Oryctolagus cuniculus: one gene and its partner. The main gene of each other region encodes a partner of the protein of the gene in region 2 in a complex. Links are inferred from orthologs where the notes say so. Each region holds a gene or a part of one and is shown on either strand. Other genes may lie near its edges. The genes, in order: SUFU and GLI1.

Evidence for each region.
Region 1: the proteins of GLI1 (region 2) and SUFU are in contact, whole or in part, in a crystal structure (PDB 4KMD), measured with the Homo sapiens proteins. The link is inferred for Oryctolagus cuniculus from reciprocal best matches to the Homo sapiens genes GLI1 and SUFU. Residues at the interface, in NP_005260.1 of Homo sapiens: Gly119, Ser120, Tyr121, Gly122, His123, Leu124, Ser125, Ile126, Gly127; in NP_057253.2 of Homo sapiens: Leu144, Tyr147, Asn153, Thr154, Phe155, Gly158, Asp159, His160, Val161, Ser162, Trp163, His164, Gln212, Asn265, Leu266, Ser267, Gly268, Val269, Ser270, Ala271, Glu376, Leu380, Lys398.

Annotation. Positions count from the first base shown.
Region 1 is NC_091446.1:27,362,329-27,366,125, forward strand, and holds part of SUFU (suppressor of fused homolog), read right to left. Parts: intron 2,241-3,797; coding exon 2,102-2,240; intron 1-2,101. UniProt on the Homo sapiens protein: Negative regulator in the hedgehog/smoothened signaling pathway. Down-regulates GLI1-mediated transactivation of target genes. Down-regulates GLI2-mediated transactivation of target genes. Part of a corepressor complex that acts on DNA-bound GLI1.
Region 2 is NC_091442.1:60,086,138-60,090,700, reverse strand, and holds the start of GLI1 (zinc finger protein GLI1), read right to left. Parts: upstream 2,849-4,563; 5' UTR 2,718-2,848; intron 1-2,717. UniProt on the Homo sapiens protein: Acts as a transcriptional activator. Binds to the DNA consensus sequence 5'-GACCACCCA-3'. Regulates the transcription of specific genes during normal development.

The DNA of each region.
Region 1 (3,797 bases), on a different chromosome or scaffold from region 2:
AGAAACCCCTCAGTGATCCGGGTGTGTGCTTGGGGAGTGGGGCTGTAGCCAGCCTTCCCAGGAGCACTCCTGCGATCTGGCCCCGTGGTGGACCACACTAATGAGCCCATAACATGGGCCTTTGATCAAGCAGCTCCCAGCACAGCAACTTTATTGAAACAGCAGCTCCGTTCCCACCGCTCCCCGGTTCCCTGGGCAACAGCCCATGGGAGGGGACCGAGCGCTGGGGAGTCTGCGGGTGCTGATCTCTGCAGCTTACACAGGGGCTGCCAGGGAGGTGAGGGCATTGTGGTGATGGGAGGGGGACACTGGCAGCCAGGGGAGCAGGGGCCCAGAAGCTTTAGAGGGACTAAGGGGCACTGCTGAGTCCTCTGGGTGCCAAGGCTCCTGGGATGCTACTAACCAGAGCTGCTGATCACTCTCTTTAGGGCAGGGAGACCCTCCAAGGGGTGGCAGAACTCCAAGGCCAGGGTCAGAGTTGAGGATATGAAACGTCACTGGGGGATATTTATTCTTGGGTTTGGGGAGATCCCAGCCCTCACTTTTCCAAGAAAATGTGCTTGAGCCTTCAGTAAACACACATGCCATCCTTGTACACTTCTGCTGAGACCTGTCAGCACTCTGTTGCCCCAGGAGTGAGGACCCGTGACCTCCCAGGGCTGGGTCTCCTGTACAGTGCCCACCTCCTACCTCCTCATCAGCTCAGCCCGGCTGGGGAGGGCTGCTCCCTCCTGCTCTGCAGGGGCAATGCTGGGTCTGTGGGGGTTGGGGGCAGAGCAGGGGCCAAGGGAGGCCCTTCCCACTTGTGCTGGGCTAATTTCAAATGTTACACTTTGGAGCTTTTGCTACAGTAACTACCAACACCACATGGACAGAAATCTAATGTTACCAAGTGGGACTTTTAAAATGTATTTATAACTTTATGGTTCAAAGTAATTTTGTTATGAAACAATGTAATAACAACAGTGGAAAAAGGCAAGATAATTTATGGAACACAATATCCCTAAAGCACTAGCTTCCATTTCTACCTCGGCTTAGTCTGGGGAGTGTGGTTGGTGTCCTCTGTTTGCTGTTTGTTTTAATTAAGGGTTAGTATTTTGGTGGGGGTGGGGTGAGGACTGGCCTGCAGGCTGAGAAACTCTGCTGTAAGCAGATAGACGGGGACTAAAAGTAAGGCCATATGAAGAGCAGAGGCGCTCTGCAGATCCCAGACTGGGTTAAACCCACAAAGCCAGCATAATTCTTTTCCCCTCTACCATACCACCCCCTTCCCCCACCCAGTGTCCCCTTCAGCACACCACAAATAAGGCACAGGTACCTTTTGGATTAGGGTCAGATTCTCTTTCTTGATACTCCTGAGAGAAGCAAAATATTCTTTTCTCCCCCATTCCCAACAAACAAACAAAAGCCAAAAAAGGATGCTGTCCCTCCAATATACTTGGAGTGTGGCAGACCAGACCAGAGCACTCCTCAGAGACCTGGGCCTGGGTGGGGGCTGGAAGGAGGCCAGTGGTTCTTAGGCCCCAGCACCCTGCTTGGCATTCACTCTGAAGCTTGCGCCAGCCAGAAGAGCAGAGGAGGGACAAAGTGTTCTGGACAAGCCAGCAGGTTTCTGCTCAGACCAGCTGGGTTTCCATCAGAAGGAACGGGGAGAGCCATTCGATGTGTGTGTGCAGGGGGCTGGGGGAGGGAGGCCCCCACCACCAAGGCCCGCCCATCCCAGTCCCAGGTCCAGGTCCACATGCCCACTTCCTGTGAATTCCATGCAGCTCCTGCAGAGTGGCTGTCATCCATCCTCCCCATCTTGCCTCACCTGTACCTTGGTATACCCAGGTGGGAAACCTGGATTACCAATGGCCAGGGCCTGGAGAGTTATCACTGGGGTCTCATTGTATGATGAGGGAAGAGGCCAGGAAGTGGCCCTGGGGCTGCTGGGATAAGCAGTGGCATCCACACTCCACACCCACATACAGGCCTCAACCTCTGAGCCCAAGAGGTACTCATCAGCAGCCTCAGGAATGGGCCTGGCTAAGAGCTGCCAAGGGAGAGGAGGGCAAGGAAGAGCCTACGGAAAGAGAGGGGAGAAAAAGAGCCTTCTCACTTGCAACCAGGGTCCATGGGCCGCGTAAGGATGCTCCTCGGTGGCAAAGGCGCCTTCCACTCCCGTGGAGACAAACGTGATGGCCATGTCACCTGTGATACTTTTATACGTAAAGTGCCGTCCATGCAGGAGCCTGCCCCTGGGGGAACATGGAGACAGTAAGGAGCTGGGCCTGGAAACAGCCCAAGTGCAGTGGCCTGGCCAAAGGTCTGGGACCATGCTCCCTCGGACAGGGAGTCTGACAAATGAGACCAAACTGCCACCTGCCCAGGAAGAGGGGGCTGTAACCAGACACATTGCTTTCTCCACCTTCATGGGAGAGGCCCTTCCTACACATCCTCTAACATCATCCTTCCAAAGAGCTCAAGGCCAGCAGAGCACTAGGTCAGAGTCAGAGGGCCTGCACAGGTAGTGGAGCCCGCTGCCCAGGGTGCTGGTGACGGACCTGAGGCCAGACAGCGAAGTCAGCATTGTGCACAGGGTTGTGCCCAGGGTAATGCCCAGGGCTAAGAGGGAATTCACATCCCCTTGCTTGGGGGACTGGAGGTGTGGTAGTGCCTTCACAGTAGGACTGGTCACACACAGTGCCTGGTGGACTCTTCACCTGCTTCGGCACTTTCTCATAGCAGTTACAGGCTCTCCCAAAGGCCCAACCCAGTTTTTAAAAAAGCTGAAGCCAAGTGGGGTCACTCTGAGGGAGCCATCGGAAACTACTGTTAGCTCTCAGTCTGGAAATACACCTGGGGGAAGGGCAGGCAGGGACAACTAGTGGGCCACAGGCGCCAGTCAGCAAAGGAAGCAAAGCTGGCATTTTGCTTTCTCAGGCAGCCGCTGATTAACCCTTCACCAGCTCCAAGCCCGGGCCAGTGAGGCAGCAGGGGAGGACATGGCTGGCGGTGGGCCTGTCAGGTCTGTCCCACACTGACTTCTAGCTCTGCTGCTCAGGGTGGCTGGACTAGGCTGGTCCCTTTCAAACTCTCTTACAGGCTCCAGGGATGGTGGGGAGGGTCCAAACTGCAACCCCTTCTTCTTCGTCACCGTTCTTTGTGTTCAGAGCTATTCTAACCGCCTCTCTTGCCATCAGTGAGGGTGGGGCCCAGAGGGCTGTGGAGGAAGCCATCGGCTGCAATAGATTCAGCCAATGTAGTGTCCCCGAGTGGGACACTGGACTCTGGTCGCAGGGCTGGGTTTCTGGCAAGGACAGCAGGCGAAGGGACACAACTGGACTCCCTGGTCCCTTAAGAAGTCTGCTGGGCCGGCCACCAGCCTTGAGGAACTTAGTGTTTTGCATGGAGAAAACAGCAAGCAGGAGAAAACAGAGCCCAACGTACCAGAAGCCTCACCCTGACAGCCCAGTGCTGGTGACCCTGCCATCCAGACCCCAGGCTTTGGGTGGCTGGGAGTATCTGAGACTTCCTTGGTCGCTGAAGCTTCCTCTGGACCGAGGAGACAACTTCAGCAGCAAACGAGGATGGTGTGGCAACCAAGCAGTCAGACTGGAGACCAGTGGGGCTCCCTGGCCATGGTCCTGGGCCCACCAGAGGTTGTCACTGCTGTAGGCTAGGCACAAGCTACAGAGAAGAGGCCCCTCCCTCAGGGTGATCTACAGTGTTCACAGAGGCTGGCCAGAGGCCTAGGCAGGGAGAATACAGCACAGCACCGCTCAGTGACAAGCCAGCTACTGGCTGGTTCACAG
Region 2 (4,563 bases):
GAAGGCTGGGCTGCGGGCACTTAGGGAGGGTCTGACCTAAGCCCCAGGAGGCTCGCCTCCTTTCCTTCACTGGCCCCCACGCACGGACAGCCTACAGTCTCCCCAGTATCCAGCAGGAGGAGCCCTCGCCACAGTCCAGACAGGCCGGCGGGGTCAGGAGCGAGCACTGAAGAGCTAGGGCTCTCTTAGGTGGAGAACTGTGAGTAGGAGTAGGTCAGGCTTCTGGGGGAGCCTCCCGGGGCTGGTAGGTATGCAGGACAGAAGCTGACATTGTCCTGCCGTGGTTTGGATCTGGGCCCACTTAGCCTTTCGGTGTCTGGTTTTTGGGGAACAGGAAAAGAACTCTGAGGGAAGGCATTAAGGAGAATGAAAAACAAACTCATCAGCCACTCGAAAGTAGTGAGGAAGAAGCGGGTGCTGCTGTCTGCTTTTCTCCTCAAACTCCGGTTCATACTCCACCCCGGGTTTTCCGGGATTCCGGGAGCGAGGGTGGGGCGGGGCGGGGCGGGGCGGGGTGGAGAGCCACCAGGAGCGGGCCGGCCGGCGCGGTGGGTGATCCCGGGATGCTGGGATTTAGGGTGAGGGAGGGGTAACACGGGGAGCGGAACTCGGACCCCAAGACCCGGCCCGAGCCCCGCAACCAGGGCCGTACCCTTCCTAACTCCTCCTCCTTCAGCCGACCCCCGGATCCCGCACCGGGGACCTCCCAACTCGACCTTGGCACTCAAGTTGGAGGCGGGGGGCACAGCTGGCTGGCAGCTGGGTGGGGGGGCCCGTCTCCCGCCTCCTTCCTCTATGACTCACCCAGGGAAAGGAGGCGGACTCGTCAAGGAACCCCCCCCAACGCCAACGAGACTCCCCAAAACGTGCCCACGCGGTGGTCCTCCTGCCTCAGCGCCTAGCCGCCAGGCAGGCGCAATTGGAAACGGGGCGACATCCCTCCCCGCCCACGCGTGCCGCGGCCCACCCACGTCTCCCCTTCGCACTAGTGGAAGCACAAGGTCGCCGCCCGCTTTCCCAGCTCCGGGACACTTGGGAGTGGGTGAGGGTGCGGGGTGGGGTGGGGTGGGGTGGGGTGGGGATCTCCCCGGATCCCGCGCCGGAGCCCGGCTTGCCAGAGTGCCCCCTCGTACCCCCGCTCCCCAACTCCCAGGAGCCGGCCCCGCCCCCTTCCCCGGTCCCGCCTTCCCCGCCCCCGTGCCTCCTCGGCCCACCCAAGTCGCCGCCGCAGGCTCTGGCTGCAGACGGCTCCGCTTCCCCCGCCCGCCCCGGGAGCCCAGTCGAGCGAGCCGTACAGTGTGTGTGGGGGGGGGGGGGGATGAGGGGCGGGACACATTCTTCCCTCCTCCTCCTCTCCGTGCATCCCGAAAGCAGGCAGCGGCGCCCTGGGGAGCACTTTTGGAGAGTGGGGATCCCCGTGGTGGGGTGGCAAAGCAAGAGAATCCTTAGAGTATAGGGAGGGGAAAGAGTGGGAGTAAATAAAACAAGGTGTGTGTGTGTGTGTGTGTGTGTGTGTGTGAACACCTCGGGTTCCCGGCAGCCCAAGGGTTAACCCTTTCGGACCCCCGGGAACCCCCTAGTGACGTCAAGGGCGGGGTCTGCGCGTCGGGCGGGGATGCCGGGGAGATAATGAGGGGGGGTCTCGGGACCCCGCCCCCCTAGGGAAAACCACCCTGACGCCGGCCTTCGCGTCTCCCCGGGAAACGGCCAGGTCTTCGCCCTCCACTGGAACTTTCGGGCCTATGCTAGGAAGACCCTAGCTCGCCAGCCCCCTAAAACCCTCAGTCCTCCGCCACTACGGGGTCCCCTTTCTCTAATCCTGCCCCCAAAGCTGGCTACCCAGGGTTGATTGTTTCGGGGTCAAGGGGCCTGAAAGAGGCTTCAGAGCGGGGAGCCAGGGCAGGCAGGGTGGTCTGAGCCAGAGGAGGGGCTTGGGTTCGCAGCTCCCGTTTGGGCGGGGGGCCAAGCGGGATATATAGGCTGGCAGTGGCCGGTGGTCCCGCCCAGCCCCAGTAGGGGTCTCCCGGCGGCTGGCTTCAGCTGCCCCGGTGGTCCAGAGGTCAGAGGGTCAAGAAAAGGTCTCCCCAGCTCCTCTTAAGCGGCCTGCCCCATAGCCCTAGAGGCTCGGGAGCCCAAAATTCTTTGGGGTCTTTCTAAGGCCTAGTTAGACCTTGGGCAGCCCCGCCAGCTCCCGGCCTAGTCCGGAAGACACTCGCGTCCCGCATCTGCAGGCACATCGGTCACAGCAGGTCGGGGGCTCAGGCCCAGCAGGCTCCCCGTGGTTCTGCTGCCTCACACACACCTAAGCCCACCCCACCTGGAGCGCCCTCCTTTGGGGTGCCCCGACGTCCTCATGCCTGGCACTCAAGATGCTACCTGGAGTTCCCGCTCCACCCCGCAGACCCCAGGACAGCCACCCCTCCAGCCTCAAGAAAGTGAGATGTTTCTAACACAGGGGAGTGGCGGAGACAAAGAGACCCACGGTTGCCCGAGACAGAGACACGCAGACTGTCAGAAGAAAAAAAGAAGGGAATGAAGAGATACAAACGGGAAAAAAAAATTCCCTCAGACTTCCTAACAACTCACCCCGGGCTCGCCCACCCCCATTCTGCCCCTGCACCCCAGGTCTCCCTCCAGGCCGGGGTGAACCCCTCGGAAGCAGAGCATCCCCCTCCCCCACCGCTCCCAGGTGGTCCCCCGCCCGCCCCCCTTCTCACCTCCGTCTGGGCGCTGGACTCGGGATGCGCGGTCCAGGGCAGGAGTCTGGGCTGGGGGGTGTGCGGTGGGGAGGGGGGGCGGACAGGGCCACGGCAGCGCAGCCTCGGTGCCACCCCCACCCCCCAACCTGGCCCCCCAGCCCTCCCGCCGGCCCAGCCAGCCGGGCCGCGAGCCGGGACCACCCGCGAGAAGCGCAAACTTTTTTTTTTCCCTTTTGCAAAAACTTTTCCTCGCTCTAGCCGCTGGCGCGCCGCCTCTCTTCCCGCTCGCCCCTCGCCTCCCTCCTATCTCCCTCCCTCCTGCCGTTCTGGAGGGTGAGGCGGGGTGGCTAGGAGCGAGAGAGGGGGTGCCGGGCTTATTGCACCCCCAGGACCCCCAGGATCCTCCCCCTCCCTTGAGGGACCCTATACTGCCTCCCCCCCCCCCCCCCCGAACACGCTGCTGGTGGTGGGCGGAAAATCCCGGTCTGGATCTGCGGATCGGCTGTCCACGAAGTGGTCCTGAGCCAGAGCCAGAAAGACCGAGGGAAATATTGCGAGGCGGGGGAAAAAGAGAGAAGTTCATCTGGCAAAGATCATGTTCGAGGCAGGGTCGTCCACACTGACGGATGCGAACTGAGCATCCCGCCACCCTGTGGTTTATCTGCAGGTCTAATCCTCTGGGAGAGTTGGGGTTGGGGCAAACCGAGCTGAGGAGCTTGGTGGGGGGCTCTGGAGAAAGTTTCGGGGTCTACGGAGTAGAAAGGAGAGGAGAAGCGGCCGAGGCTCTGCGTGCGAGGTGCGCCTCCACAGTGTCGCTAAGGAGCCGTGGGTCTGCAGCACCTTTCCCAGGAAACGCCCTCTCCACCTCGAACCTCTGCAGGCTGCGGCCACCTCCGCACCTCTCTGCCGCCCGCGCTCTTTACGCTCTCCAAGGCTTCCTGCTCCCTCTGCTGGCCCTGCTTGCACATGACACCCTCTCTGCGTTTGGAGGCGGAGGAGACCGGGAGGACCCACGGAGCTCGCGCCCAGACAGCTGCCTCCCCCAAAGCCCAGTTAGGAGCCCAGAGAAGCGGCGGGGCCCAGCGGCAGAGGCTGCTGGCACCCTGCGGGAGTGCCCCCCTGACGGAGGAGTGCCCTGTCCCTCTGGGTTTGTGTTGCCGTGGTGACCGGATGGCGGGGAGGGGGCAGCTATTTCGTCCTGGGGAAGAGGAAGACTCCCTTCCCGGTTCTGTGACCTCCCTGGCAGACCTGGCACACCTTAGCTCTGCGTCCAGGAGCCATCTACTTGGACTGAGAGTGAGGGCCTGTTAACAGTCGGGTTGGGGGGTCCAGGGAGGGGAAGACCAGGCGAAGCAAGGGGAGGTCTGGGCCCCACAGGAGTCACTGGGGGTGGGGGAGGTCCCGTGCAGCCTGCCTCCCGCACAGTGTCACCCAGAGGGTCGAGGGCCTGCCCAGCTCGCTCAGGCCGCACCAATGGTCACCGGGAAGAGACTCCAGTCTTGCTCCTGTCCCAGCCGGGTGTCCTTTCTCCTAGGACTCATTTATCAGCTTGTTTCAGGGGCAGAGACAGAGACCCAGAGCTCCTAACCTTTGTTGTTGATTCATTCCCAAAATGCAAGCTGGGAACGCAATCCAAGTCTCTCACTGGGGACTTGAACCCAGGGACTTAGATATAGGATGTGAACTTTTTTTTTCTTCTTTGCTTTTCATTGCTTTATTTATTTGAAAGGCAGAGTTACAGAGAGAGAGAGAGGGAGAGGGAGAGGAAGAGAGCGAGATCTTCCATCCTCTGGTTCAATCCCCAAATGGCTGCAATGGCCAGAGCTGGACTGATCCGAAGCCAGGAGCTAAGAGCTTCTTCCCG